7 linked regions of the Macaca fascicularis genome follow. The protein of the gene in region 1 interacts with the protein of each later gene in a pairwise test. Links are inferred from orthologs where the notes say so. Each region holds a gene or a part of one and is shown in the gene's direction. Other genes may lie near its edges. The genes, in order: FAM9B, NDUFB10, GFOD1, CEP95, MYG1, POLL and FASTKD3.

The links.
Region 2: the proteins of FAM9B (region 1) and NDUFB10 interact in binary tests that used the Homo sapiens proteins (3 or more experiments, as listed by UniProt). The two-hybrid records come from large-scale screens. The link is inferred for Macaca fascicularis from reciprocal best matches to the Homo sapiens genes FAM9B and NDUFB10.
Region 3: the proteins of FAM9B (region 1) and GFOD1 interact in binary tests that used the Homo sapiens proteins (3 or more experiments, as listed by UniProt). The two-hybrid records come from large-scale screens. The link is inferred for Macaca fascicularis from reciprocal best matches to the Homo sapiens genes FAM9B and GFOD1.
Region 4: the proteins of FAM9B (region 1) and CEP95 interact in binary tests that used the Homo sapiens proteins (3 or more experiments, as listed by UniProt). The two-hybrid records come from large-scale screens. The link is inferred for Macaca fascicularis from reciprocal best matches to the Homo sapiens genes FAM9B and CEP95.
Region 5: the proteins of FAM9B (region 1) and MYG1 interact in binary tests that used the Homo sapiens proteins (3 or more experiments, as listed by UniProt). The two-hybrid records come from large-scale screens. The link is inferred for Macaca fascicularis from reciprocal best matches to the Homo sapiens genes FAM9B and MYG1.
Region 6: the proteins of FAM9B (region 1) and POLL interact in binary tests that used the Homo sapiens proteins (3 or more experiments, as listed by UniProt). The two-hybrid records come from large-scale screens. The link is inferred for Macaca fascicularis from reciprocal best matches to the Homo sapiens genes FAM9B and POLL.
Region 7: the proteins of FAM9B (region 1) and FASTKD3 interact in binary tests that used the Homo sapiens proteins (3 or more experiments, as listed by UniProt). The two-hybrid records come from large-scale screens. The link is inferred for Macaca fascicularis from reciprocal best matches to the Homo sapiens genes FAM9B and FASTKD3.

The regions. Positions count from the first base shown.
Region 1 is NC_088395.1:8,685,656-8,689,923, reverse strand, and holds the start of FAM9B (protein FAM9B), read left to right. Parts: upstream 1-1,467; 5' UTR 1,468-1,752; intron 1,753-2,509; 5' UTR 2,510-2,598; coding exon 2,599-2,626; intron 2,627-3,128; coding exon 3,129-3,249; intron 3,250-3,428; coding exon 3,429-3,460; intron 3,461-4,268. UniProt on the Homo sapiens protein: May play a role in meiosis.
Region 2 is NC_088394.1:2,722,044-2,726,433, forward strand, and holds NDUFB10 (NADH dehydrogenase [ubiquinone] 1 beta subcomplex subunit 10), read left to right. Parts: upstream 1-1,524; 5' UTR 1,525-1,611; coding exon 1,612-1,759; intron 1,760-3,541; coding exon 3,542-3,680; intron 3,681-3,885; coding exon 3,886-4,025; intron 4,026-4,175; coding exon 4,176-4,285; 3' UTR 4,286-4,352; downstream 4,353-4,390. UniProt on the Homo sapiens protein: Accessory subunit that is involved in the functional assembly of the mitochondrial respiratory chain complex I.
Region 3 is NC_088378.1:159,456,971-159,461,406, forward strand, and holds the start of GFOD1 (glucose-fructose oxidoreductase domain-containing protein 1), read left to right. Parts: upstream 1-1,510; 5' UTR 1,511-2,238; coding exon 2,239-2,491; intron 2,492-4,436.
Region 4 is NC_088390.1:71,097,781-71,102,066, forward strand, and holds the start of CEP95 (centrosomal protein of 95 kDa), read left to right. Parts: upstream 1-1,394; 5' UTR 1,395-1,489; coding exon 1,490-1,508; intron 1,509-2,970; exon of another isoform or gene 2,971-2,971; coding exon 2,972-3,100; intron 3,101-3,326; exon of another isoform or gene 3,327-3,409; coding exon of another isoform or gene 3,410-3,515; intron 3,516-4,286. Other genes in the region: probable ATP-dependent RNA helicase DDX5, read right to left, coding at 443-486.
Region 5 is NC_088385.1:60,106,447-60,109,491, forward strand, and holds the end of MYG1 (MYG1 exonuclease), read left to right. Parts: intron 1-1,013; coding exon 1,014-1,166; intron 1,167-1,302; coding exon 1,303-1,425; intron 1,426-1,844; coding exon 1,845-2,026; intron 2,027-2,135; coding exon 2,136-2,319; 3' UTR 2,320-2,341; downstream 2,342-3,045. Other genes in the region: AAAS (aladin), read right to left, coding at 2,657-2,881, 3,013-3,045. UniProt on the Homo sapiens protein: 3'-5' RNA exonuclease which cleaves in situ on specific transcripts in both nucleus and mitochondrion. Involved in regulating spatially segregated organellar RNA processing, acts as a coordinator of nucleo-mitochondrial crosstalk.
Region 6 is NC_088383.1:110,560,439-110,564,733, reverse strand, and holds the start of POLL (DNA polymerase lambda), read left to right. Parts: upstream 1-1,408; 5' UTR 1,409-1,462; exon of another isoform or gene 1,463-1,860; intron 1,861-2,246; exon of another isoform or gene 2,247-2,270; 5' UTR 2,271-2,292; coding exon 2,293-2,407; exon of another isoform or gene 2,408-2,434; coding exon of another isoform or gene 2,435-2,531; intron 2,532-3,507; coding exon 3,508-3,802; intron 3,803-4,185; coding exon 4,186-4,295. Other genes in the region: protein DPCD, read right to left, coding at 1,264-1,327.
Region 7 is NC_088380.1:8,145,719-8,150,005, reverse strand, and holds the start of FASTKD3 (FAST kinase domain-containing protein 3, mitochondrial), read left to right. Parts: upstream 1-1,431; 5' UTR 1,432-1,471; intron 1,472-2,310; 5' UTR 2,311-2,334; coding exon 2,335-3,766; intron 3,767-4,287. UniProt on the Homo sapiens protein: Required for normal mitochondrial respiration. Increases steady-state levels and half-lives of a subset of mature mitochondrial mRNAs MT-ND2, MT-ND3, MT-CYTB, MT-CO2, and MT-ATP8/6.

The DNA.
Region 1 (4,268 bases):
ATCATGCCCTTCTCTTGTTCTGTATACTCTGCCTTTAGTTTATTCATTTATTTTTTGCATTATTTTACATTTGCGAGCTATCAATTCCCAGATCCATATTTTCCTTTTCTTCATATTTGTCTGACATGTATTTTTTGTATCATTTTGTTTTAGCTCCATTCTTACATACAGCATATACTTAGATTTTTATTTTGATCCAAGTTGGAAGTCATTTCCTTTAGATTCTGAGTTTATCTCATTCATATTTCTTGCTCAACAGATTCACTTGGCCTTAATTTTGTTCCTTTATGTTATGGTCTCTGGAGTATTTTCTTTATTTTCCAACTTTTACTACAGGATTTGTGTTCTTTGTGTGTGCTCTTTTTGGTTATATAGACATTTAAGGCTGTGGATTAGTTTTCCTGATGACTGCCTTTGTAATTTCTTTTCTTTTCTTTTTTTTTGAGGTGGAGTCTCGCTCTGTCGCCAGGGTTTCACCGTGTTAGTCAGGATGGTCTCGATCTCCTGACCTTGTGATCTGCCCGTCTCAGCCTCCCAAAGTGCTGGGATATAATTTCAATAATATAATGAAACTCTATATCTTGATTTACAAACTTTAGGCAATATTTATTTACTCCTAACTCCAAAACAACTCTCCCCCTATTATAGGCGACTGGAGGTGGGAAAAAGCTGAGTTAACGATAAGTATTAAGGCATTAATTTGTGGGTGAAGGTTGTGGCATATGTCTGGATAAGTCTGGAGCATGAGGGTTTGTGGGCAAGTCTGGGGCATGAGGATGAGAAAGAAAAGTAGTGAGGAAACAAAAATGGTTATGGGCAGGGCACGGTGGCTCATGCCTGTAATCCTAGCACTTTGGGAGGCCAAGGCGTGCAGATCAACTGAGGTCAGGAGTTTGACACCAGCCTGGACAACATGGTGAAACCTCGTCTCTACTAAAAAAAAAAAAAAAATTAGCAGGGCTTGGTGTTGGGCTCCTGTAATTCCAGCTCCTTGGGAGGCTGAGGCAGGAGAATCACTTGAACCCGGGAAGCGGAGGTTGCAGTGAGCTGAGATCACCCTGCTGCACTCCAGCCTAGGCGATAGAGTGAGACACAGTCTCAAAAACAAACAAAAACAATAAAAGCACAATCCATTGATTGAAAAGGATGCAGCTGGGCATGTTGGAAGCACACAGGGCATGGGAGGGAGCCTGGGCCCAACCCATAGGATGATGGCCATTCTAGCCAAAGGGGCAGGGGTGGCTGGAAAGAGCCCCAGGGCGAGGTTCTAGGCCCTGTCCACTTGGCCTCCATACCAAGTCCTGTGTCCCTCCCCAGGAGCAGAAGCTGAAAGAATGTGGGAACAGAGGCCCCAAAGGGCCAACCCCACCTCAGTCCACAGCAACCACTTGCTGTCACTTAGGGGAAGGGGGAGGGCGTGCCAGCAGGGGGCGTGGCCCCACACGGCCTGTCACACGCATGTGCACTGAGTCGACCAATCTGCGAGGAGCGTAGGAAGTGCTGTCGGCAGCTCTCACGAGAACTGAGTACTTGTTTTCTTTTTTGTTTTTTGTTTTTTGTTTTTTGAGACAGTCTGGCTCTTGCCGCCCAGGCTGCAGTGCAGCCGCGCGATCTGGGCTCACTGCAACTTCCGCCTCCCGGGGTCAAGCAATCATTCTGCCTCAGCCTCCTGAGAGGACCCGTTTTCTAAGAGATCCTAGTGGTGCTGTTGTCTGCAGGTTCTTTGAGGGCGCCACATCAGGGGTCCCTCAGGTGAAGCGCTCGCGGTGGGGAGGCGGAAACGCAGGCACGAGGCCCTCTGGGAACCAGGGTGTGAAGCGCTGGGCCGCCCGCTGACCTGTGAGGAAATGCCCCTGGCGTGGTCGCCTGGGGCCTGGGTCAGGGCGAGGCCCTGAGGGTGGGCTGGGGTGGGCCAGGGCAGGGAGGGAGCTGGAGCCGCCTGGGTGATCCCTAGGGCCCAGGAGGGCTTGTGCATGTGTTGGGGGGAGGTGCGGAAGGTGGGGGGAAGTGGGGGTGGGGCGAGGGTGTTGTTGGGGACAGTCTGAGTGGGGCCCTCCTGCCCGGCCTCCCGTCAGGACAGGACACTTGGGGTCATCAGGGGTCCCCTGTGCATCCAGGCGGGTGAGTGACAGTGCAGCCCCTGACATTCCTCTGGAGGTGGCTGGGGAGATCCTGTGTCACCCGGTGGCCCTCCCAGCCACACGGGGTCGCTGGGGGACCCAGAGGTAGGGCTGAGTTCTGTCCCAAAGGTGCGGCGAGGATCCCGCAGACGCCGTGGAGTTCAGGTGTGAGGGGCAGCTGTGAGCTCTGCAGCCAGCCCCGGGGACGGGCTGGACGGGCTGGACGGGCCAGGACAGGAGGGGACACTGGCATCTTTTCGGTCCCCTCCTGCTCCCACAGGAGGCCCAGGGCGTGCCAGCCCCACCCTTCTTAAACCTGTGATCCCAATGGCTTTCCTTTCCGATGCCAGGGTTCCTTTGCTTCCTTAGTGTGCCTTTGCCCTCATCAGGTTCAGGGATCACCTGTAGCTTCCCAGGACAGCCAGCCACGGATCCTGTGGGCAGGAGGGCTGCCAAGGCCCAGTTGGAGGCTCAATTTATGGCGGCCCAGGGGAAGGAGCGTGCAGGTAAATACAGCCCAAGGTGACCCGGAAGAAAGTGCACGCCCAAGAGGACGGTCTGTCTGCTTTCTGCGCTGGGGGCACAGGGGTAGCCCAAGGACCCGGGCCCCTTCGTGGCTTTGGAGTCCATCGTGCACGTGCTAAGATGCCCCAGGTTTTCAAAGCAGGCTCAAGGGCCTTAGGCTTCCCGTAAAAGGCTCCCCTCATAGCGGGGTTACAGATGCTCCCAGAGCAGCTCTTCTCCATGAGTGCAGTCATGACATCCAAGGGGTCTGACGTGTAGTACGTTGTTTACTGGGACTTGAACCCGAAGGGCTTCCAAAAGTGCCTTGATAAAATGGTCAGAAGCCGGTGATTCCATGTACAGCTCTGCTTTAAAGCCTTAATTGGCAGATAGCCAAAAAAAAAAAAAAAAAAAAAAAGTCTACAACTAGTACATTTCTCCACAAAAAAAGTCCACAACAGTGTCTTCCTCTAAAAAAGGTTTGTCTTTTAAATTTTAATGCAGGAAAGGATCCAGTCAGTGACGAATGTGAGGAAAGAAACCCTTTTACAGAAACAAGGGAGGAAGATGTAACTGATGAGCATGGGGAAAGAGAACCTTTTGCTGAAAAAGACGAGCACACGGGGTAAAGTGTTTAAGTCACTTTTGCCTGTCGGATAGGGTCTTTTAGGAAAAGTCACCTTTGGACCATGTCATCACTGTTCTATTCTGTGCAGAACATTTCACATAAGACATTTCTTTTCCCAACAAACATGGCATTTTGTGTAGTATTATGCTAAAATTTTGATGTAACTTTTTTTACAGGGCTAATACCAAGAAGCCAGAAGATACTGCAGGTATATTTTAGGAGTTATCTGTCGTTTATGAAAATTGTTTTCAATCATGCAACTGTTGCAGTAAGTTATATGAATCAGTGGATGACAAGACTGTCTTAAATGGCTTATCATATGTAGCATTTAACATACGTATTTAATGTAATCTGTTTGATAAATTTTTCTTACCTCTTTGATTGTTGATGTGGAATGTGAGAATGCTTCTAATAATGGTGAAGCGAGATGGATGGCTTTTCTTTCATACACGTGGAAATTTAATTGTTTGGAGAATATTAGAGGACATTGGAGGAGAAATAGCTCTATTCGTTCCTTTTAGTGTACGCAGATTAAGTCATATATCAGGTTTTTTTTAAGCTTTCACTTTAAGTTTGGGGGTACATGTGCAGGTGTGTTATATAGATAAATTGCATGTCACAGGGTTTTGGTATACAGATTATTTTGTCACCCAGGTTATAAGCATAGTACCTGATGGGTGGTTTTTGATCCTCACCCTCCTCCTACCCTCCACTCTCAAGTAGGCCCAGTTGTCTGTTGGTCCCTTCTTCCTGTCCATATGTACTCAGAGTTTTTAATAAGAGTTTTTCATGTTCTTAATTTAGCTATTCTATTGTCACAGCTTTCTGATTTTGTTTTATTTGAAGTACAAGAGAAAATTGAATTCTCTAAAATCATTTTCTATTATTATTCCAGTAATAAACTGTGTAGTACAAAAGTAAGGACAACTTTTCTATCTAGTGAGAAACATGTAATTGGATCCAAAAACTCATAAACTTTATATTGCTGTGTGAAATATTAGTTGCACTGTTATAGG
Region 2 (4,390 bases), on another chromosome or scaffold:
AAAGTGGTGGGATTACAGGCTTGAGCCACCACGCCCGGCCCCTTTCTTTCTCTCTTTCTTTTTCTTTTCTTTCTTTCTTTCTTTCTTTCTTTCTTTCTTTCTTTCTTTCTTTCTTTCTTTCTTTCTTTCTCTCTCTCTTTCTTTCTTTTTTTGAGACAGGGTTTCCTCTGGTGCCCAGGCTGAAGTGTAGTGGCACAGTAATAGCTCACTGCAGCCTCAACCTCCTGGGCTCAAGCAATCCTCCTGCCTCATCCCCCCCAAGTAGCTGGGACCACAGGCACTTACCACCATGCCTCACTAATTTTTGTATTGTTTATGGAGACAGGGATCTCATTATGTTGCCCAGGCTGGTCTCAAACTCCTGAGCTCAAGCAATTTGCCTGCCTTGGCCTCCCAGAGTTCTGGGATTACAGATGTGAGCCACTGTGCCCCTCGAAATCTCTTTCAATTCAAAGATGCTATGGTTGTAAAGTTCTTTTTTTTTTTTTTTTGAGACAGAGTCTCCCTCTGTTGCCCAGGCTGGAGTTCGGTGGCACAATCTCGGCTCACTGCAACCTCTGCCTCCTGGGTTCAAGCGATCCTCCTGTCTCAGCCCCCCTGGTAGCTGGGATTACAGGCACGTGCCACCATGCCCGGCTGATTTTTGTATTTTTAGTAGAGATGGGGCTTCACCATATTGGCCAGGCTGGTCTCAAACTCCTGACCTCAGGTGATCCACCCGCCTCGGCCTCCCAAAGTGCTGGGTTTACAGGCGTGAGCCACCCCGCCCAGCCGGTTGTAAAGTTCTATAGCAGTGGAATTTTAGAGTTTTTCAGGCCTACGATGTCTCTAACATCTGTGACTCTTACATCAATAGATACTAAGATTCTAGACTACTAAAATGTCAAGATTGTTTGGGTCTCATGGTTTGTATTTCTTTCCAAGAGTTTGGCTGGGAGCGGTGGCTTATGTCTGTAATCCCAGAACTTTGGGAGGCTGAGGTGGGCAGATCATCTAAGGTCAGCAATTTGAGACCAGAAACATGGTGAAACCCCGTCTCACCAGGGGTCCTGGTAGAGAGCGGGGCCCAGGGAATTCTGTACGGGGTAGGCAATCCAGGAAAGCTTCCTAGAAGAGTAGGGAGTTTGGAATTGCGTGTTATTTGTTGACTTTGTCGTGTATGCTCTAACGGCCTGTGTTCTCCATCACAGCCGGGCTGTTTATCTTCTTCCCTGCTGCACTCAGCACAGTGCCTGGCGGGCAGTGGGAACCGAATGACTCCCTCCTATTCCTTATGTCTGTTGGCTATTGTCTGTTTCTTTCACTGTAAGCAGGGATCTGTCCGGTTCGCGCCTACTTCCCAGGCTCCCAGACCAGTGACCAGCACCGCGCAGGCGCTCGGCAGAGACCGAGAACGGAGGCCCCACACGGGGGCGCCCTGCGGCGAGGCGGGTCCCGGCCGCGCCTGGCGGAGTCGGGGAACTACAAGTCCCATAGTGCCTCGCGGCCGCCAGCGCACAGACGCAGCCGCCCTCGGCGTCCTCTGTAGCTGGCGACCTAGGCCGCGGGACCCGGACAGAGGTAGAGGCAAGGGCAGCGCGTCAGGGAGCGGGGTTCGCGCCTCCCGCCGCCATGCCGGACAGCTGGGACAAGGATGTGTACCCTGAGCCCCCGCGCCGCACGCCGGTGCTGTCGTCGCAGACTTGGCTGCCCAATCCCGTCGTCTACATGACGAAGGCGTTCGACCTCATCGTGGACCGACCCGTGACCCTCGTGAGAGGTACGAGGCCCCAGCCCGGGGCTCCCTCGCCGGCCTCTGGGGACCCCTGGATCCCACACCCTGCCTGGATCCTCCAATGCCCCCGGGGTCCCGTCTCCCTGAGACCGCCCCCCGCTGCACCCCGGGGACAACCCCCCACCCCCGGAGACCCCCGAGCTCCGTCGCCTACTTTGGCCTCCCACTGCACCCCGGACCTCACCTCCTAGGATCCCTTACTCTCCCCTGCACCCCGGGACGCCCCGCTCCTTCCCAGGACTCTTCCCTCCCTGCCGCACCCAGCACCCACTGCTCCAGGACCCCGCACTGCTCTCTGCCCCCGCCGCGCCGGGAACCCCTCCACCGCACCGCTGGCCTCAGGCCTCTCTCAAATGTTAGGGGTGGTCTGCACAGGGAAGCATCTGAATCCTGGGGGTTGTTATAGACCTGCCAGATGACCAAGTGTCAGGGTGATGGCCGAGATGCCCACATTCACCATCTCTGGAACGAACCGGGAGAATGCCCAGTTCAGTGTTTTTTTTTTTTTCTTTCCCTGAGACAGTCTCGCTCTGTTGCCCAGGCTGGAATGCAGTGGTGCGATCTCGGCTCACTGCAACCTCTGCGCCATCCCGGGTTCAAGCGATTCTCCTGCCTCAGCCTCCTCAATAGCTGAGATTACAGGTGCACCACCACCAAGCCCAGCTAATTTTTATATTTTTAGTAGACACAGGGTTTCACCATGTCAGCCAGGCTAGTCTCGAACTCCTGACCTCAGGTGATCCTCCCACCTTGGACCCCCAAAGTGCTGGGATTACGGGCCTGAGCCACCGCGCCCAGCCTGGTTCAGTTCTTTTTGAACACTTGGGGTGCATAGCATGCTCTGGTGGTTCTCTTGTAAAAGGATGAAGTCTGCAAATCAAACCCCCAAGGATCTGTAAACCGTGCAACAGCTGACCCAGCTCCCTCTCTTTTGTAGCAGTCCTAGAACATGTCTGTCCTATGTGTCTGGATGTTCGAGCTCTCTTTTTAGCTTGTTCATTTCCCAGTGAGGAAGCTGAGGCTGTAAGGTGGTAAGTTCTGCTTGCTGGAGGCTCCCTGTTGGAACCTCTGCGCACCCAGTCCTCCCGCAGGACTCCACAGGGGTCCCTGTGCAGCTGGGGGAGGTGCACCGGCAGAGCTTCGTCACAGTCAGTGCTGTCTGTGAGAAGCCGCTGCCTGTAGGCGTGTGTGGGGGACAGAGTAAGGTAATGCATGTGGAACTCTGAGGATGATGCCTGGTACGCTGGAGCTCTCCATCAGCTGTAGCCTAGGCCTTCACAGGCCTGCCTGGCCGGCCACACCTCATAGAGAGACGAACTGCCGGGTTTTTTTTTTTTTTTTTTTTTTTTTTGAGATGGAGTCTCGCTCTGTCACCCAGGCTGGAGCACGGTGGCACGATCTCGGCTCACTGCTAGTTCCACCTCCAGGGTTCACGCCATTCTCCTGCCTCAGCCTTCTGAGTAGCTGGGACTACAGGCACCCGCCACCATGCCCGGCTAATTTTTTTGCTTTTTTTAGTAGAGATGGGGTTTCACCGGGTTAGCTAGGATGGTCTCGATCTCTTGACCTTATGATCCGCCCGCCTCGGCCTCCCCAAGTGCTGGGATTACAGGTGTGAGCCACCGCGCCCGGCCGAATTGCCTGTTTTCTAAACGCTGGAACACTCAGGAAGTTCTCCTCCCTCCCCTCCAAGGGGCCTATGAGAACTAGAAAGCTAAAAGCTTGTCCAAACCAATGAGGTGTGAGTCTGTGGTTTTGTCTTTGCAGAATTTATAGAGCGGCAGCATGCGAAGAACAGGTATTACTACTACCACCGGCAGTACCGCCGTGTGCCGGACATCACTGAGTGCAAGGAGAATGATATCTTGTGCTTGTTTGAAGCTGAAATGCAGTGGAGGAGGGACTAGTACGTGAGCCACGCTGGGAGTGTGGAGATCTGCAGCATGTGCAGCTGGGCCACCGGTCCCTGGGATTCCACAGGGTGGCATGCCCAGATCTTAGGACTGACATGGGAGGAGCCAGACCCCAGGGCTCTTGATTTCAATTGTTCTCGAGGGGTACAGGGAAAGGATTCCTGGTGATTAGCCTCTCTTGCTCCCTTTCTCCCCCAGCCAAGTCGACCGAGAAATTGTCAACATTATACAGGCTCGACTCAAGGCCTGTCAGCAGAGGGAAGGACACAACTACAAGCAGAACTGCAACAAGGAAGTGGAGCAGTTCACCGAGGTGGCCAAGGCCTACCAGGACCGCTGTGCGTGACCTCCCCCTCCCATCCTTCTGAGGCCTGGGGGCCAGAACCATTGCGATTCCTCCCTCCCCTCACTTCTGCCCACTTGACTTTGCCCCCCCTTTGCATGCAGCAGAGGCCTGGGTTCCCAGCTTGTTTCTATTGCTTTCTCAGATCAGGACCTGGGGGCCCACTATTCTGCCAGGAAGTGCCTGGCCAAACAGAAGGAGAGGATGCTGGAAGAGAGAAAAGCTGCAAGAGAGGCCGCCGCTGCCACCTCCTGAGGCATCTGTGGGTGCGCCTGCTGTGTGGCTCTGTATGACTGTTGCTGAAATAAAGTCCTGCAACCTGCCTGTGTTTCTGGTGTGATCTATTGGCCCCACATCCGC
Region 3 (4,436 bases), on another chromosome or scaffold:
CCAAAGTGCTGGGATTACAGGCTTGAGCCACCGCGCCCGGCCTGTGCGTTTCTTCTAATGCCCTAGGTCAGCCTCCACTCCGCATTGCCACACACAGCTTTTTTGATATCCTGCTCTCTCCACGCGCGCCCCGCCTCACTGCCAGTTGTTACAAGTTGTTTTAAACGCTTGCAAGTATCACGTTTTCCACTCGTGTTGCGGCAGACATTGAGCCCAGTGCTGAAGACAGGAGATGAACATGACCTGACCCATGACCTCTCCAAAGACCTTCAGCTAGAAGACGTGCCTTTCAATTTTTAGTCCCCGCTCCCGGCATCAAATGGGTGCGAAGCGGGCATTCGATGAATATGCATTCATTTATTTAGCAAATGTTTATTGAGGGCCTACTACATACAGGCAGGCAGTGTGCCAGGTGCCAAGGATATGGTGGAAAACCAGACAGACGCAGAGTCCCCACGGCTCCAGAGGTGCGGGGCCAGCCTTGGCCAGTTCCCCTCAGTCCCCCCTCGAGGGCCTGACAAGGGTGCAGGGGGGTCGAGGTGGGGGCAAGCTGGGAGAAGTAAAGGCTGCTGGAAGTGGCGATGGCAACAGGAGCCGAAGCAAGAAGCGGGCGTGGCATCTGGCCAGGGCGACATATCCGTCTCGAAACCTAGACACGAGACGCACGCGCCGCAGCGGCCTCGGAGACCCCTGCGCCGCTGCGGCAGTCCAGACCACAGCCTCTACGCGGCGGCGGGCACGGGCCTAGGGGCAGGGGAGGTGGGAGGCAGATGGGAGCCCGCCAAGACTGGACTGTCTGGGAAGAAGGCGGCTGAACCTTGCGTGCGCGGCCGGAGCGGGGGCGCGCGATTGGAGCAGGCTAGCTTGGAAGGGGACCGGAGAAGTCTGCGGTTCCATGCCCAGACTCTGGGGCCTGGATTCCAATCGCAGGCCTGTTGCTTACATATGTCACCTTGCGCAAGTCCCTTAGCCTTCACTGGGACTCATTTACATCACTGGTAAAATGGGTTTCCAATAACCTTAGGTTGCTGCGAGGACTAAAAGGGACAATGCCTGGAAAGGCTTCAGTATGATGCTCAGCACGCAGGTAACGCTCCGGGGACCGAGGTTGTTAATACCGGCTGTTCGCACCTCGCCGGGTCCCCTCACTGCCCCCAGGCCAAGGCGCCCACTGCTCTCTTCCAAGGGACAGGCGACTAACCTATTGGGGCGCGCCCTGCCTAGATAGATTTATTTGCTTGCTTGGGGCGGGGTTTGGAGTGAAGCAGGGAGGAGAAGAAGATGGTGAGGGCAAAGAAAGGGAAGAAGCGGAGGGGCAGGAGGCGAGCGAGGCGGGGCCGGGGAGGAGCCGGGCTGGGCTCCCAGGGCCCCGGCGCAGCGCGCACCCGGAGCTGGCGGCGGCGGGGGCGGGGGCGGCGCGCGGCGGCCAATGGCGCGCGGCGCTGCGGTGAGGGCGGTGCAGGAACACCGGCCGCTGACAGCCAAACTCGCCAACTCCGCCCTCGTCCCCGCGGGATCCCGGAGCCTGAGCCGGCCTGGGGCCGAGGCCGCCCGAGCCGCGAGGCGAGCGAACATGGCAGCAAAATGAGGAGGCTGGCGCCGGGTCGTGGCAGCCGCTGCAGCGCTGCAGCTTGAGATCCCCGTCCGGCGCGCTCCGGGCCGCATCCTTAGCCGGCCTCCTGGCGGTCGCGGGATTATTTCATTCCGAGCGGAGGGCGAGGGATAAAGGAGACTCCCCAGCGGAGCGGGTCCGTGCCCAGACTCTGGGGCAGGGTGTAGACGTTTGTGTGTGCGATTCGCCGGCTGCGCAAACGACGCGGGAGAGAGACGGTCCCGGGCTGCGGCGGCGCGGCCGCGGGGATGAGCCGGCCATGGAGCGGCCTTGGCTGGGCGCACGCAGCGGACTGGCGCTGCCGCCCGAACGCCGCCTGAGCCGGGGCTCCAGGGGGCTTCGAAGCCTCCGGCGCCCTGGGGGGGTCCCTGTCGCCGACTCCGGGAAGGACGCAAGCCCCGCGTGGCGGACACTGCCGCAGTCACCGTACTGAGGCGCCCCGAGCTTGCTCCGCCTGCAGCTCGGTGCGCGCTGGGCACCCGGGCGCCTTGCCCGGTGCACGGCGGCTGGCGCACAGCGGCTAGATTGGCTGCAGGAGCCGGGTGCAGGACTAGCTGGAGGTGGGTGTGTGCGCGTGTTGGACTGGAGATCCGAGTAGAAGCAGAACCAGGCGGCTCTGAGCAGCCATGCTTCCCGGGGTGGGCGTGTTCGGCACCAGCCTCACGGCCCGTGTCATCATCCCGCTGCTAAAAGACGAGGGCTTCGCGGTGAAGGCGCTGTGGGGCCGCACGCAGGAAGAAGCGGAGGAGCTGGCCAAGGAGATGAGTGTCCCCTTCTACACTAGCCGCATTGATGAGGTGCTGCTACATCAGGACGTGGACTTGGTGTGCATTAACCTGCCGCCGCCTCTCACCAGACAGATCGCTGTCAAAACCCTAGGTGAGCGACCCCTACCCTGAATCCTCCGTCCCACACCCGCCCTTTAACCTTCCCTGGGTTCCTTCCCCGCTGCCTTTCCCTTTCCGTGTCCCAGAAGCTTACCCTGCATCTACGCTGCCCCATGGATCTGAGATCCCAGATCCGACTCAGAGCTCCCTCCTTCCTTGTCCCGGGCCTTCCCCACCTTTGCACTTCCCTCCTGCCTCCTGGCACCACTTGGACGCGCTTCCCCACGTGTGTGGCTGGCAGGCTGGAGGAGGAGTGTGTTCCGGGGATCCGAACTAGGAAGATCAGATGCCGATATCAGGGGATGGGGTGCTCCGCAAGAAGAGGAAAGTTAGTCCTCAGCTGTGTGTGTCGTGTACGTGTGTGTGTGAGTGTGTGTGTGTGTGCGCGCGCGCGCCTGGGAGACGCGAGTGCGCGCCCAGAAACGCCTGAATAAAGGGCCGCACACGTGTCTCGGGGTTCTTGGGTTCGACAGAGGACCTGCCCTTCAGCAACTGTGGCGCCCTGTTGGGGTCGTTTGTTTCTTTCTGCTGTGAGTTAGTTTAGCGTGACATTGGAGGTGTGACCATCGGCTGGAATTATTTCGTCTGCGCTGGAGGCAAGGATGATGGGAGCGGTTGGATGGGGGTGATGATTTAGAATGTTTTCAGAAGCGTCATAGGTTAGTAAAGACTGATTTGATAAAACCAGGGGTTTTAACTTTTGAATGCAGCCTTCCGGGAAATGTCTTCTGCCACAGTTTGGAGTAATCGATTTTAAATTTTTACGGGGATGGGCGCAGTAGCTCCAGAGTCATGGACGCTTTGCATCAGAAAAGGCCCTCGCTAATCGCCTTCAGGAATAGTTTCTGAAGGCATAGTGTTGACCCGCGGGGGCCGGAGATGAGTTCAGGGTGCCTCACCATCTGGTCCCTGCTCCCCTCAACTCCCAGGCAGTCTGAACAATCTCTGAGCACAGAGTAGCAACCTCTTAGCCCATGCTCAGGGGAAAGAGAAGGGCATGTTTTGTTCATCATCAGTTCTTACATATAACCTAAAACAATCCCAGGAAGCTTGCTTGATCTTACAATTCCAAGAAAATTAGCAGCTCACCTTTGAAAGCTGAAGTTTCTATTGGTGAGGAAAACACAAAGCTTATAACAAGAACAAAGCTTATAACCAGATGAAGCGAATAGTAGAACAGATTAGAAGGGAGGAACTGCCAAGGAACAGAGACCATCCAGAAACCAACCGGAAGTTATGTAGTCTTGGAAAGACTGTTTTATTTTTTAAAAATAGGTGTGGATTCAGGGTGGGTGAAATATATATATGTGTTTTAATTCTGCCTTCGAAGAGCTCTGAACAGAATGTAGAAACTCTCCATAGAAAGGCATTTTTATCAGGCCATTTGGCTGTTGACTCAGATGCGACATCTGATGGAATTCCTAAGGAGGCTGCTCACATTGTCAGTTTTAATTGTCAGTTAATTTTATTAAGTGTCTGCCCTTTGTGGCCTGTTTCTTTGGCCTTGAACTGAATGCCATTGAGTCTGGCCAATATTTATTTTCTGTTTGATGGAACATGTGTATTGGGTGGATAACTCCCTTGTTTACATTGGCTCTTTGCATATTAAATATTTTATAACCATCTTGTGGTATAATTCTATTAGTGCAGTTTGTACAAAACTGGTCCCTCATGAGCCCTGGGTATACTGGAGAGCTTAGGACTGGTCATATCTGAAAGACCATGTTGTAACTTCGTTTCTCCACCATAGAGATGGTGGTTCCTGTCCTGGGTACAGACCCACAGAGCAAACCTAGAGCAGGAGGGTGGCGATTTGGGGAACAAGGATGACCTTGTTTTCTGGCTGTCTCTGGGAAGTTGGCCATGAAAGTATCTGGGGGCTCTGGTTTCAAGAGATGTGACACAAATTAGACATTTCTGGATACTTCTTCTGTTCT
Region 4 (4,286 bases), on another chromosome or scaffold:
ATGGCTGATGCCGGCCGCCCTCCTACCCCCACAGCACCAGTGGCTTTGGAGGTGGTCCCTTCGCTCCCACAGAATGCCCGACCACCCCAAAAACACCTCCCGAAAGGCCGCACCTAACAGCTGTTCCTTCGTCTGCCTCGAAGCGTCGCGCTTTCATCCGAACAATGCGCTCCCTCTGAATTCCCTCAACAGCTACCAAATGGCAGCCGCCCCGACGGCTCCCCGACCCCCACACAAAAAGCGAGGATGAAGACACTATCCCGTCAAATCTCTCCCACTCACTGTTACGTGAATATCAAAATGGCGCAAGCCTTCGGGAAAGGAGGCCCCAAGATAGCCCGGAAAGGCCGAGTCCAAGCCGCAAAGCCCCGGCCCGCCGCCACCCTGACCCGCCCTCCCATCCCCCACCCGCCAGCCCTGACAACTCGGCTCCCACACTCACCCTCGATCCCGGCCGCGGTCTCGGTCACTCGAATAACCCGACATAGCGTCAATGGTTGCGGTTGGCGGGGAACGAAGTAGATAGAAAAGGGTGCGACGAGTCGCTGGAAATGGCTTCGGCGACGGCGAAGCCTTGCGGGGGCGGCAGCGGAGGAGTGACGGCGATGACACCAGCCAAAGCTGCACACCTAGAGACCGGTGGAAATGAATGAGGTGCCGGCCGCTTTCCGGCAGCCGCTTTTATAGTCTGGACCTCCTCCTACGCCGCAAGGCACGCTGGGAGCCGCTCTATGACCTAATCGCCCCGCCCCTCGCGCAGAGGCCGCAACGCCCGCCGGCGTTCCGCGATCGCCGCGCTTTCACCCCACCCCGTGCCGCTCTCTCAGGTCAGGGCCCACCCACCATTGAAATGCCTCATTCTCCACTCTCTTGACCTCACCTTCTTCTCGTCTTTCCACACCTCAAGAAAGCCACCCTGCCCTTTCCCAAGCCCAGCCAGACGATAAAACAGCCAGCCCAAGCCCGCCCACCCTCCCCACTCGGAGGTGTTTACGTCTCCAAAGAGCCCTCACGCCTGTAACCAAATGAGAGGGAAGGCGGGGGCCTGGCGTTGTCACGTGACGTTACCCCCCCACCGCCCACCGTGACAGGGGGCCGCACTACTTCCCCGTTGACGTCGGCGGAGGGATACATAACGAAATAGCTCACCGGAAGTGCGCTGCCAGCACCCGGGACCCGCCCCCAGCTGCCGGCTAACTTGGACCGTCCGACCCACGGGTCTGACAATCCTGTGACGGGTTTTGGCCGGCGGAGAATGGTCTCTAAACTTCCCAAACCGCTTCCGTGGCACGTGCTGTGAAAGGAAGTGCTCCTCTGATGACCAATCAGCGGCGAGAAGTTCTTTTAACGTCCCTCCCTCTTTCACGCCTCCTTCCCCGCGCTTTAGTTCGTGCGCCCGCCCCCCAGCGTCTGCTCTGCGTTCGGTCCTTGCAGGACACCGTCGCCGGTCTGGCAGCGTCGGAGTCCGGCGGCGACCTGCTTCCGAGACATGGCCCGCTCGGAGGCTGGTGAGTGTTTCCCTGGGGTCGCGGTGTGTGTTTACTGAAACTGTCCACCTTCAGGGAGGCCTCGGGCTAGCCCGGACTGGGTCTGGGGTGTCGGCGGGGCTCGTTACTGTCAGACGCTGCGTCGCGGTGGCGGGTTCTCTGGATAGGGTCTCTCAGCTTCACCCCCTCTTCGCTTTGAGGCCGTGGAACAGCAGTATGAGGTGGGAGAGAGGCACTGGGGCGAGGCCGGTAGGACGCTCGGGTCCTGGCTGCAAAAAGAGCAGTCAGAAGGGTCGTCCTCGGACTTGTCTTTCTGTGGGGCGTCTAGCCGCTGTCCATGTGCCCTCCTCCCTTGCACTATGGGCCCTGAGGTCGTACCTCCTTTTGTAGTGGTCTTTAAAGGAACGGCACTCTTAAGGTTTATTCATGCCCCTGCCACAGAAGAATAGTGGTGCTTTTTTCTCTTCAGTGCCCTCTAGAGTCATGGGCTTTGTCTAGCACCGCTTTTGAAGAGCGAATTAATTTGGTTGTCTAGGACGCTTTCATCCTTTTCACTAGGACTGCGTACAAACCAGTTGTCATGGTTTGGCCAGTTGTGAGAAATGGGCTTGGAGAGGGGGGATTATGTGCCTGGAAGATACACTCTCATTCGTTTCCAGAACGTCATGTGTCCAGAACATAGTGGAGATGTTTGTTTCTAATATCGATTGCCAGTGCTTTCCTACCAATCGTCAGGCATTTCAAGGAACAAGTATTTTAAGCTAAGTTGCTTTTGGTAGAGAAACTGTTAAACTTCGCAAATCCCAGCAATATCTAGGGGAGAGGAGAATGTGGTATGCAGGAAACGTCAACAGTATTGATAATTCTGAGCTTCATGTACTTCCAATATTTTGTTTCATGTAGATCAATATAATAAAAAAGAAAAACTAAGAAATGCATTAGTGTTGATGTTGTCATTATGCCAGTTCTTAACAGCCTAAGTTTAATCACCACTTATTTGGGCACCAGAGAAATCCTGACTTGCACAAGATAATTGGGTAAACACATGACCAATACTGTTGGGAGTTTGAAGCAACATATTTTATTAATGACTGTCTAGTAACTTCAGATTATTATTAAACTGTTGCTTATGACATAATATTCCTGTTTACTTGTAAACATGTTTTAACTAAAAACACCCACGTAAGGCTTATATAAGTAACTTAAGATTTTAGGCTGCAACAGTAACAGTTGAATTTGCAGTATAGTTTTGACTGTATAGAAATTACAGCACTCTGGAAATCATCCCAAGAAATTAAATACATCTTTTTAAAAATCATGCCTAACGGGTCTTTGAAATTCTATAACAATCAAATTCCCTATCTTCTACAAAGTTCAGTGTCTTTTTTTTTTTCTGGGTGGGGAGGTTGTTGGATTTTTTGAATGGGTGTGTGATTTTTTTCTGGTGGTATTTAAGACTGATCTTTCCCCCTTTTTCCCAACAGAGTGGGTAACCATTGCCAATAGCCTTCTTTTTAAGTGTCATATACATCTGAGAATACATGAACTTCAAGACTGTGATGCTAATGTTTTTATTGCCCTTTATCAGTCTATTTTGGGAGAAAAGGTACCAGGTAAGACTACTAAAAGCAGGAGTAATTTTGCCTATATCTTAGGTCAGAAGTTTTTGGTCCTTTAGTTAGATGCTTTGGTATTTATAACATTTCATTTTCTCTTTGCCTATATATTTTTTAATATTGCATATTAAATTATATATTAATATACAATATTTAAATATCGTATATTAAATGGTATTTAATATTGCGTATTGTCTAATTATATTATATTCCTTAAGGAATACCCTGTGGAATCCACTCAATAATGGCCTTGAGCAGATCAGTTTGAGGGCTCCTGATAATCACTGGTTAATCCAATCATGGCTAATGCCTTGTGAAAGTTGCATCCTTTCTGAAAATGTACCTTCAAAGGTTGTAAAATTGAGTGGAACTTGGGAATTTATTGGATCCTGTCACTTAACCAGTGTTAGGGGTAAGAATTGATATTTGTACTTGATGAACCTAATTTACCAAGACAGTTAATAAGCGTATATATCCTTTCATCTTGCTCCCCATCTCACTATGTTCAAGAACAGGGTGGTACCAACTCAGCTTAAGTGATTCTCCCCTGTCTGCCTCCCAAAGTGATAGGATTACAGGCATGAGCCACCATGCCCAGCCTGTACTGACATTTTAAATCTTTATACCAATAATTCCAGTTGGCTACTCAAAAGGACATATAAGGGCCGGGCGTGGTGGCTCACGCCTGTAATCCCAGCACTTTGGGAGGCTGATCATTTGAGGCAGGTGGATCACCTGAGGCTAGGAGTTCAAGACCAGCCTGGCCAACATGGCAAAACCCCGTCTCTGCTAAAAATACAAAGATTAGCCAGGCATAGTGGTGCACGCCTATAATCCCAGCTACTTGGGAGGCTGAGGCAAGAGAATTGCTTGAGCCGGGGAGGCAGAGGTTGTAGTGAGCCAAGATCACGCCACTGCATTCCAGCCTGGACAACAGAGCGAGACCCTGTCTCAATAAATAAATAAACAAACATACATATATATAAAATAATCTTCCAATGCCTGCTGTGTTGTTTTTTTTTTTCCTCTCGTAGAAAGCAGCCCATAGTTATGGGTTAAAGTATCATGTCTTGGCTCCCTTACTAGACTATTAGCTCTCTTTGAATGTAGGGGCCACTTTATCTTCCTTAACATGGTGCTTCTTGTAAAGCATGTTCATATATATATGTATATATAAATGGTG
Region 5 (3,045 bases), on another chromosome or scaffold:
TACAGGCGTGAGCCACTGCGCCCGGCCTATGTATTTATTTTTGAGAGACTGTTGCCCAGGTTGGAGTCCAATGGTGCCATCATGGCTTGCTGCTGCTTTGAACTCCTAGGCTCAAGCAATCTTCCCACCTCAGCCCCCCAAGTAGCTGAGACTCTAGGTGCATGCCACCATGCCTGGCTAATGATATGTCTTAATTTTTTGTAGAGAGGGTCTTGCTACGTTGCCCAGGCTGGACTCAAACTCCTGGGCTCAAGTGATCCTCCCACCTAAGCCTAAACCCATGTTTTAACTGAGCATCAGGTTGGGGTCCAAACCAAGAAGTGCTGGGCATAGAAGTTACTTTCTCAGTGCTCTGAGAGTAGCACTTTTCTACATACCACAGGTGTAGTGTTATGGAGGCCTATTTTGTCGGGCAATTTTGCATAAAGTTTCTGCCCCGAGACTCTTGAGGCATTATCCTACCATTTATTCAGACCCAGGAGACAACTGCTGATGTCATGTGGCACATTATGGGCTTCCCTGGAACCCTAACCCAGCAACCAGCTTTTGGTGTCTAATCTCAGACTCATTTTCTCCCTCTTGACTTGTGTTCTCAACCAGAGCCCCTCCTGCACCTCATTAACCATGTCACTGAATACCTACTCACCCCACCTGGAGACTTACCAGCCTTCAACCACAGGGACCCACTCCCACAGAGACCCTCTAGCACCTGGAAGACCCTCTTCCTTGTTCAAAAGTTAGCAGTCCCCTCCCCACACTTGTTGGCTTTGGTTTGGGCTTTGTGCAGCAGAATGAGCATGGATTAGAAACCAGGTGATCTGAATTCCAGTCACAGCACAGTGAGACTCCTGAGCTTCAGCAAGCTGCTGAACTTGCCAGTTCTCCCTTTTCTCATCCAGTTATGTTGAGAGATCCTCACAGGGCTGAGTGTGTATGAACATACTTTGAATCATGTTAAGACTTCACATAAATAGTAGGTAGCCTCAAGAAAGTTTCCCCTGCTGCTGCCTTAGATGTATGAGAACTTTGTGGAGGAGGTGGATGCCGTGGACAATGGGATCTCCCAGTGGGCAGAGGGGGAGCCTCGATATGCACTGACCACTACCCTGAGTGCACGAGTTGCTCGACTTAATCCTACCTGGAACCAGCCTGACCAAGACACTGAGGTAAGGTGGCGTGGGAGGAAACCCTGAGACCTGTAAGAACCTTGGGCGGGGGGAAATGGGAGCATTTATTCCTCCTAAGCCCTAGCAAATTCCAAGTTTGCGCCAGCACCCTGGTTCTGATTCTCATCATTCCCAGGCAGGGTTCAAGCGTGCAATGGATCTGGTTCAAGAGGAGTTTCTGCAGAGATTAGATTTCTACCAACACAGCTGGCTGCCAGCCCGGGCCTTGGTGGAAGAGGCCCTTGCCCAGCGATTCCAGGTATAGGCCTTGGAGGAGGCATTGTGGCTTGGGGATTACTGACTGCCAATCAACAGGTGCTCCTGCTTCTACCCTAAACCCTAAACATTTTCTTTTTTTTTTTTTTTTTTTGAGATGGGATCTCTCTCTCTCTGTCACCCAGGCTGGAGTGCAGTGGCAGACAACCTCAACCTCCTGGGCTCGAGCAATCCTCCCACCTCAGCCTCCTGAGTAGCTGGGACTACAGGCACATGCCACCTCACCCAGCTGATTTTTGTATTTTTTGTAGAGACAGGGTCTCATTTTGTTGCCTAGGCTTGTCTCAAATTCCTGAGCTCAATTGATCCTCCCACCTCAGCCTGCCAAAGTGTTGTGACTACAGGCATAATCATCATGCCCAGCCTACCTTAAACCTTTTAGCTATCCTCTCCCTCTTTCAGGTGGACCCAAGTGGGGAGATTGTGGAACTGGCGAAAGGTGGATGTCCCTGGAAGGAGCATCTCTACCACCTGGAATCTGGGCTGTCCCCTCCAGTGGCCATCATCTTTGTTATCTACACTGACCAGGCTGGACAGTGGCGAGTACAGTCTGTGCCCAAGGAGCCCCACTCATTCCAAAGCCGGTGAGCCCTAGGGAACCACCCTACTGACCTTCAGGCCTGTCTCAGCCTTGTTAAGAGAAGGCTGCCAATTCTGACCTCTGCTCTGCTCCCTCTTTCTGCCCGCTTGTAGGCTGCCCCTACCAGAGCCATGGCGGGGTCTTCGGGACGAGGCCCTGGACCAGGTCAGTGGGATCCCTGGCTGCATCTTCGTCCATGCAAGTGGCTTCATTGGCGGTCACCGCACCCGAGAGGGTGCCTTGAACATGGCCCGTGCCACATTGGCCCAGCGCTCATACCTCCCACAAATGTCCTAGTGTAATAAAACCTTCCACCTCATACTGACCCAGTCCTTGACTCATTCTTGCCCTACACCATTCTGGAAACTTGTGAAAAGTGAAACAACTATTTATATGTAAGACCCTGTGTTAGATATATTTTCTTCACAGTAACTTCTCAGTCTTGCTTTCCAAAGCATTTGAATCCATACAGTTTCTAGGGTTAATGTGACCAAATTCACAAGTGGCTAAAAAGTGACAGAACAGGGCCTTAACTCAAAGTCCATGCTTTTTCCCCCTACTCTACCCCAATGCAACTCCCTGGAAAAGACAGACTGGTAACTGAGTGGAAAACAAAAGGAAAACTTATTTTTTATTAGAGGTGGGAATGTGGGGAGTGGGGCAGAACAGGTGGTGGCCCTGGGAGAGGGTCCCAAGGGGCAGAGGTTGGGGATGTCTCAGTAAAGAGGGGCAGGTCATGAATACAGCCTCCACCCCCAGCAGGGGGTTCTTGGGCCCGGCCAAGCACTGGGCTAAAACGTGGAAACTGGGCATTGACAAAGTACAGCGGGATGTGAGCAATTCGGCCTGTGGACCAGCCCTGCAGAGAAGGGAAAGAAAAGGATCAGAGCCTGGGCCCAAAGAAGGGCCATCTGGCAGAGCCATACAGCAGCCAAGGCCCTTAGCTTCTCCATCCAACTCCTGGAAGCCCCAGCAGCCTGGCGCACTCACCACACTGAGCAGGGCCCCTTTGTTGAAGGAAGG
Region 6 (4,295 bases), on another chromosome or scaffold:
AAAGGATCCGCCCACCTCAGCCTCCCAAAGTGCTGGGATTACAGGCGTGAACCACCACACCTGGCCATAATTTTTGTATTTTTTGAAGAGATGAGGTTTGGCCATGTTGCCCAAGCTGGTCTCGAACTCCTGAGCTCAAACGATCCACCCGCCTCAGCCTCCCAGAGTGCTGGAATTACCGGCGTGAGCCACTGTGCCTGGCCTTATTAATTCTTCAGGACCCAGAAACATCATCACTTCTGTTGGGTCTTCTTCCAAAGACATGTCGCTTACACCTTCACTCTTTCCTACCATTTTATACAAGACTACAACCTCTATTTAACACATCTTATTACTTAAATACATGTTTTTCCCAACCAGTCCAAGTCCTGTGACAACATATCTTTTTCTTTCTGTTCTAGTTTAGAGCTTGGCACATAGTAAAAGCCTCCCTAAATGTTGCACGAACGAGTAAATGATTTTAATTTCCACAAACTCCAGGCTTCCCTGATTGGCCTCTGCCTGTGAATGTGAATCACCAGCTATTATCTTGAAAGTCTCAGGAACTTCAGACACAATTCATCCTGGTTACCCAGTGGGTCCAGAAAGGACCCAAGTGCACAGGGGGCTGACATCGGCCAATCCTAGGGTGAGGAAAAGTTAGATATCCATGCCCCTGTGCCCACTTCTTCCATGCACAGCCCTTGGTCCTTGCTCTAGCTCCCCTTAAGACACAGAAAACATTTAGAGGTTCACTTAACAAAAATATTACAGCTGGAAAGGACCTCAGAGATAACAACGGTAGTCCATCCACTTAATTTTACAGATGAGGAAAGTGAGGCCCAAACAAGTAAAGGTGCCAACTGGAGAGCCCGTGGTGAATTAATGGCACAGTCGGAACTAGAGCCCAGGCCTCTCTCCTCTCTAAAGTCTAAAACATTCTTGGATTTCAGTTTCCTCTTCTGTAAAACGGGGTGGAAAATTAGCCTCTCAGGACAGTGGTGAGGAGCAAATGAGATAACGAATGTAAAAGAAATTACTATATTAGCAACAGAACTCAGAGCGGGGCGAGATGGTGTAGAGAAATTTAAGGGGTGTCCGGAGACATGTGTTCTGGTCATGTCATCTCTGTGAGCCTCAGTCTCCTCATCCGCAAATGCAGGACCTGGCCCGGCTGACCACCGAGACCCTTCCAGCTCTGCCGACCCAGGCCCTGAGGCCCTTCCCGGAGGGCCGGACCCTGGGGGAAAAAAACGAAGGAGCTCGCGGGGACCCTCGAGTTACCGTCCTGCAGCAGTGCAGTCTTCTGGGCTGTCCGCAGACTCTCCAACCAGCCCGTCACCGCCATCTTTCCTCTGCTAAGCAGCCCGCCCGGCCGCTGCCATGGCAACCGTTCCACTGAAGGTCACTTCCGGCTGACTCGGAAGCTATTCTGGGCATTTGCCCTCCTTCCCCCCTTCGTCCGTTCTCATTGGCTCTCCTGGTAAGTGGCCTACTCCTGCCCACCCTCGGGTGACCAACTTGGCCTGTTGTCGACCGCACCCAGGGACTGACTCTGGCGGTTGGAGAGAGACTCTTGGCGCCGGGGTTGGGCACTCCAACTCTCTACTAGCCCCGAGCTGGGATTCCCTGGCCTGCGCCAGCTGCGTACAGGGCGAGTACACCACACCTGCCCGGGTCTTCACCCCCAGCTGCGAGACTCCTCCATTCCCGGAGGGCTCCCCACACCTGCTGCGGCCGTGCCCCATCTCCCCGCAGCTGCGGCGCTGAGCATCCCCATGTCGAGAGGCTGAGACCAGGGCAGGTGCAGGGCGTTCCCACTCACCCGCGAAAGTCCGCCTCCTCAGGTTTTCCTCTGCAAGTCTGTGTTGGAGAAAAAGAGTATGTGGAGTTTATGTGCAGGTCCTCCCCAGTCTCCGCTCCATCCCCTAAAGCTCCATTTCCTAGCCCAGCATCCCATTTTGGTAAAGCCCTTCGAAGTGGGCCGCAGCAGGAGGGCTGTGCTGAATCTTTAGAGCAACCCCTTTGAGGAATGGGTATAGTTTCCTACTCCTTAAAAGTACCCCCGATGGCTCCAGCCTTCCCCTCATTTCCCCTAATACTCCAACTTTGAAAGACTGGGGAGTGTGAAGCTAGGCTAAAAAGCTAGTTTAACGGGGTTTGAAGAGATCCCCCCCAACCTCCCGCTTCCCCAAACTGGGCTGCTACCCCCTACCTCCATAGGCAAAGGGGTTGGAGATCCTTAATTCTGTATTTCCACCTGACAGCAGCCCTGACCAACCCTCCAACAGGCTGGGATGCAGCCGTACTTCAATGGATCCCAGGGGTATCTTGAAGGCGTTTCCCAAACGGAAGAAAATTCATGCTGATGCATCATCAAAAGTACTTGCAAAGATTCCCAGGAAGGAAGAGGGAGAAGAAGCAGAAGGTGAGATGACCCACTCTCAGAACCCTCATGCGCTTGAACCCTCAGCCTTCATGTGCTTCAGCCCTATGTTGTTCATGTCCAGAATCAGATATTGGAGCTGACTCTGCCTGTCCATGGACTGCAGGTCTGTTTGTATCTGCCTTGTACTAAGCTTGGTCCTGGGTCTTGGACAGGCCATTTGCTGTGTTATCTTCTTTTCTACCTGAACACCCCTATCAATTGGAAAAGACTCCCTGGACCCTCAGGGAATGACCAGTATAATTTTTGCCCTGGGGGACTGGGACAGAAACCCCCCTCCATTACCCAGGATTGTTGTTAGTTGTTTTGCAGCCAAATTGATAAATAAATAGCAGAGGCTTTGGAGGCAGGGTTGTCGGGTCTGTCAGAGTGTAAGGGCAAGAAATGTGCATTGTTGAAAGAATAAATGATAAAGGATTCAAAGTATGGAGAGAGGCTGGGCGCGGTGGCTCATGCCTGTAATCCCAGCACTTTGGGAGGCCAAGGCAGGCAGATCACCTGTGCTCAGGAGTTCGAGACCAGCCTGGGCAATGTGGCGAAACCCCGTCTCTACCAAAAATACAAAAAATTAGCCAGGCATGGTGGCACATGCCTGTAATCCCAGCTACTTGGGAGGCTGAGGCATGAGAATCGCTTGAGCCCGGGAGATGGAGGTTGCAGTGAGCCAAGATGACGCCACTGTACTCCAGCCTGGGCAACAGAGTGAGACTGTCTCCAAACAAACAAACGAAAAAAACAAAACAAAAACAAAAACAAAGTAAGAAGGGAGGAGGCATTCATTCAGCAGATATTTACAGGTTACTTACAATGTGCCAGACACTTCTAGGTTGCACCAAGGAACAGGACGTATAAAAATCCTTGTCCCTTACTTTCAAGTACTGGCCTGTGAGAAAATTTGCTGTATATAGAAGGAAACCTGCCTGGATGGAAGACAAATGCTTATTTTCAGGGTAGGGGACTGTGAACATGTCATTCAGATCATGTTAGAAGTTGTATTCAGATCATGTTAGAAGTTGTGGCCAGGGGGTGGCAGATAAAATTAAAAAGTTATGACAGTAGTCATCTGGATGTTCCTTCCCCAGAGTGGCTGAGCTCCCTTCGGGCCCATGTTGTGCGCACTGGCATTGGACGAGCCCGGGCAGAACTCTTTGAGAAGCAGATTGTTCAGCATGGTGGCCAGTTATGCCCTGTCCAGGGCCCAGGTGTCACTCACATTGTGGTGGATGAAGGCATGGACTATGAGCGAGCCCTCCGCCTTCTCAGACTACCCCGGCTGCCCCCGGGTGCTCAGCTGGTGAAGTCAGCCTGGCTGAGCTTGTGCCTTCAGGAGAGGAGGCTGGTGGATGTAGCTGGATTCAGCATCTTCATCCCCAGTAGGTGGGCTGATCCCAGTCTTTTTTTCCAATGTTTTCTAGTAGCATCTTGAGCTCTCTTCTTGAATTATTAAAAATAACTGTCATTAATTTAAAAATTAGCCAGGCATGGTGGTATATGCCTGTAGTCCCAGCTATATGAGGGTTAGGTGGGAGGATTGATTGAGCCAGGGAGGCTGAGGCTGCAGTGAGCCTTGATCATACCACTGTACTCCAGCCTGGGTGATAGAGCAAGACCCTATCTCAAGAGAAACTCCAAAAACCTCAAAAAACTCATTTTCTTAATTGGACACACTGGGAAACCAAGTATTTCAGAATACATTAGGACTGGGGACAGAAACAGGGTGAGACCTTTGGTGTCTTAACCTCCCATCACCATCCCCACAGGTACTTGGACCAGTCACAGCCCAGCAAGGCAGAGCAGGATGCTTCTCTTCCTCCTGGCACCCATGAGGCCCTGCTTCAGACAGCGCTTCCTCCTCCTCCTTCTCCCACCA
Region 7 (4,287 bases), on another chromosome or scaffold:
ATGAGACTTTTACCACCTACCTGAAAAAGGATGTGGCACAAGAAAAGAACCTGAACAAAACTTGAGGCACAGTATCATTCCCAACAGTCTTAAATACATTTTGGTGTCCCCTTTCTTAAAAAATATAAAAGCAAAAATTATATTAAAATGATAGGATTCTTGGTTCCTATTTGATCCTAATGCTAAAGAAACTAATCATAGTACTAAAGGTAACTGAAGCACATCAGTTACCTTTTCTGTATTTAATGGAAATCAAAAATACATGAGTGTATGGGCATATTACATACAGGTGCATATAAAGAAAAAATACTTCCAATCCACTTAAAACATTTTACTAACACATGTTTTTCCTGAAGAGATAAGTAGCAGTAAAACAAACGATACTCACAGATTTTTTTTTCCTTACTCATCTAATGGCTAAAACTGGTGGGCTGTCAATTTGTGGAGGCAGATTTAAACTGAAACCCAAACCAAAATATTGGCTTTTCGTGAATGAACCGCCCAGAACGGCACCTGGCACAAAACAGGTACTCGACAAGTTATCTGAAAGAGTAAATGAACAATATGAAAACACTACACGTTTACAGCTCACAGAAAACGGCGGAAACGATGATGAAAATCTTACTACAGCTAAAATTTCTATCACTTCCCATGAAACACACACATCCTGAGGACTTCCCAGGATCAATCAACCCCTCAGCCCTGCTACTGCCCCACAACCCGGCACCACGTTCCCACTACTCTCAAAGGAGGCCGGAGCCCCAGCAGCCCCAGGGGCGGCGCGGAGGCGGTGGGCAGAGCTCACTGCCGCGTCCCGCCAGGTGGGCTCTCGGAAAATCCCCGGTTCCCCGGAGAGCGCCGCCCCAACCCGACACGTTCCCCCGTTCCCCGCGTCCCCGAGTGCGGTTTCCCTAGTCCTAGAAAGTGCCTGGAACCAAAGAACAGGCGGAGAAGCCCCACACCACCCAGGAGCCCCCGCGCGCAGAGATCGACGCCGATCTCCGGGACGCGCTTCCGGGGAAACCAAGGCCAAGGCCAAGCCCCAGCCCGAGGCCGAGCCCGCCCCCGCGGCGATCCCCGGAGCTCGAGGGGCGTGGGAACCATGGGCGCAAGCCGGCTGCCTCCCCCCGCTCCCCAGCCCGGGCCGCCTTTCCCTCGGGATTAGTACGGGGCCAGCGGCCGGAATCCGGAAACCGTAGCCACCAGCGCTTTTACCTGCGCCGCGCCACCCGAGGACACACCTGCACAGCGCGACTTCCACCAACGCTGCGCCCGTGCGCACTGCCGTAGTGCCCATGCTCCGTACCTAGGACCAATAGGAAGTTCCGAAGGGACCTGGGCCAATCACATTGCGCGGCTGTGAGTCGTGCTCCCGCCCCGCCCCGCCCTGCCCCGCCCCGCGTTTACTACGGTGGCCCACGACGCCCAGGCGCTTCCGCGGCCACCCGGAGTGATTGGCGGGCGGAGGGCGGTAGGTGTCCACGCGGTCTCTCCGGCTGGGTGTCACAGACCTTATCGGCTTTCTCCTCAGGCTGCGCCACCCTGCCCGTGTCTCAGCGCAGGTCCCCGGGGCGCCGAGTTTTGGGGGTGCTCGGCCCGCGGGTCCCTTTCATTCCTAGGAAGACGCGCCCCGGGGCATCACGCCTGTCTGTCCTGCACACTCGTGTTCCCAAATCCTCCCGCGGCGTCTTTAGATCTGGACTGGCCGCCACACCTTCTCCCTTCATTGGTCTATGTTGTGCTTTTTCTTTTCCTACTTTGTTTCCATTGCCGACGTAGACCCTTTCCCTCAACCCTGTCTCCTGACACCGAGGGGAAACCAACAGCTTAGGGCCTTTCCAGCGCGTTTTTACTCTTGCCTTGCTCTAACCTTGCGTAATTTCATCCACTTTACCTATTCTTTGTTTGATTTCTATTCAAATGCAATTTCTTCCTTCAACCAACATTTAAGGGCCACCCTTAAGAGCTACATTGCCTGAGTTTGAAACTTAGCTCTGCCACTTAACCACCTGCATAAACTGGGCAAAGTAACTTTGCTCTTCAACTTCTACCTCATGTAAAATGATGGTAAAGGTACTTAATCTGTGTAAGTTAATAGAAAGTGTTTAGCAAGTAGTAACGATTGTTATTGTTGGATGTCAGCCACTTTTCTAATTCTAGGATGCAGAGACCTTGCTCCTCTGGTGTTTATATGTTATCCATCCTTTTTTTTTTTTTTTTCCTGGTACTCGTTTGTAGTTTCAACATTGATGTTGGGTCAATCATGTTCTCAATGTATTTAACCTTGTCTTTTTAAATGTTTTAATTTAGTTATCAAATTGAGAATCTGATGGCATGGCATTAATCACCTTGAGGAAGAACCTTTATCGTTTATCTGATTTTCGGATGCATGGAGCTGCTTTGAAAAGTCAACCTCTAAATCATGTTCACAAGGTAGTCAAGGAGCGCCTGTGCCCTTGGTTCTGTTCACGACAACCTGAGCCTTTCAGGATCAGGTTCCATCATGCCCATTGTAAAAAGTTTAATTCGAAAAATGGAAATGACCTTCATCCACTCAGTGGGCCAGTATTCTCTCAAATATCTGACTGGGTCAGGCTTGAACAAAATGTTAAAAATGGGGAGAGTCAGACGTTTTACAAGAGACTGAGCAACTTGACTTCATCAGAAGAAGTGCTAAGTTTTATAAGCACGATGGAAACCCTGCCTGACACTATGGCAGCAGGAGCTTTACAACGAATTTGTGAAGTGGAAAAAAAGGATGGTGATCAAGGGTTGTCAAAAGAAATACTGGAGAATAGCATCTTTCAAGCTTTATGCTTTCAGTTGGAAAAGGAACCCTCACAGCTGTCAAACACTACTTTGGTGACTGCTTTGCAAGCTCTGATTCTGTTGCATGTGGATCCTCAAAGTAGCCTGTTACTGAACCTGGTGGCAGAATGCCAAAATCGTCTCAAAAAAGGTGGCCTGGAAGTTCCCAATCTTTGTGTTCTTGGGGAGAGTCTGATTAGACTGCACAGTTCGGGTTGTGTGACACTAGAACTGATTATAAATCAACTGCAAGGTGAAAAATTGGAAACATTTACCCCAGAGGATATTGTGGCCCTTTATAGAATCTTGCAGGCATGTGCTGAAAAAGTGGATGAACACCAAACATTTTTAAATAAGATAAACAACTTTTCCCCTTCAATAGTTTCCAGCCTGAGTCCTAAATTGATTAGCCAAATGCTCACTGCCCTGGTGGTTCTTGATCAAAGTCAAGCATTTCCTCTGATCATAAAATTGGGCAGATATGTCGTGAGACATGTCCCATATTTCACTAACGAGGAGCTTAGGAGAGTCTTGGAGGCGTTCGTGTATTTTGGGTACCATGACAGATTTTTCACAAAAGCCCTAGAGAATCGTGTAGCTGCGGTGTGCCTCACGTTGGATCCTGAAGTTGTCTGCGGAGTCATGGAGTACTGCGGTAGAAAACGGATTCTTTCAAAACCCATCCTCAATGCAGTGGCAGAAACTTTTGTTTGCCAATCAGAAAAATTTTCACCTAGTCAGATTTCTGCATTAATGGAACCATTTGGGAAACTCAATTATTTGCCACCAAATGCCTCTGCTTTATTTAGAAAGCTGGAAAATGTGCTATTCACTCATTTCGATTATTTTCCACCTGAAACATTATTGAAACTTCTTCATTCATGTTCACTGAATGAATGCCATCCAGTCAACTTTATGGCAAAAATATTCAACCCTTTTTTCCTTCAACGGCTGCAAGGTGAGTTGGTTATAAATTCTGACAGTTGGAAAAAGTTAACCTTTGAATTGGCAATGGTTTCAAGTCACATATAAAGGCAGTGTGTTGCCTTTAGTTTTTCTTCCATAGTGATCTGAAGATGAGACCTGAAGTTGACAGATGCTGGCATAAACACAGAGTTAAAGCATGCTAGGAACTCGTATAAAGGGAGGAAAGCTGTCTCAGATAAACTGACTTTTGCCTTATCTGAGAAATTGCAGCATTCTTAGGAGATACAGTGATGGTAGTGGAAATAGCCACATTAACATGTTAGAACTTTTGATGAGTAAGCAACTGTATTTTTTTTTTTTTTTTTTTGAGAGGATGGCATCGTTCATCTCGAATCAAGGCCACCCACATATTTCCGGAACTCCATAGTTAAAGGAAATTTCCACTAATTCTGTGAACATATTTTCTTTCTTTTAATTGTACTCGGTAGCTAGGAGCTGGGTTCTTGGAAGCCAATTTCATTGGTGGCAAGAGGAGGGCAGAATTATTTCTAA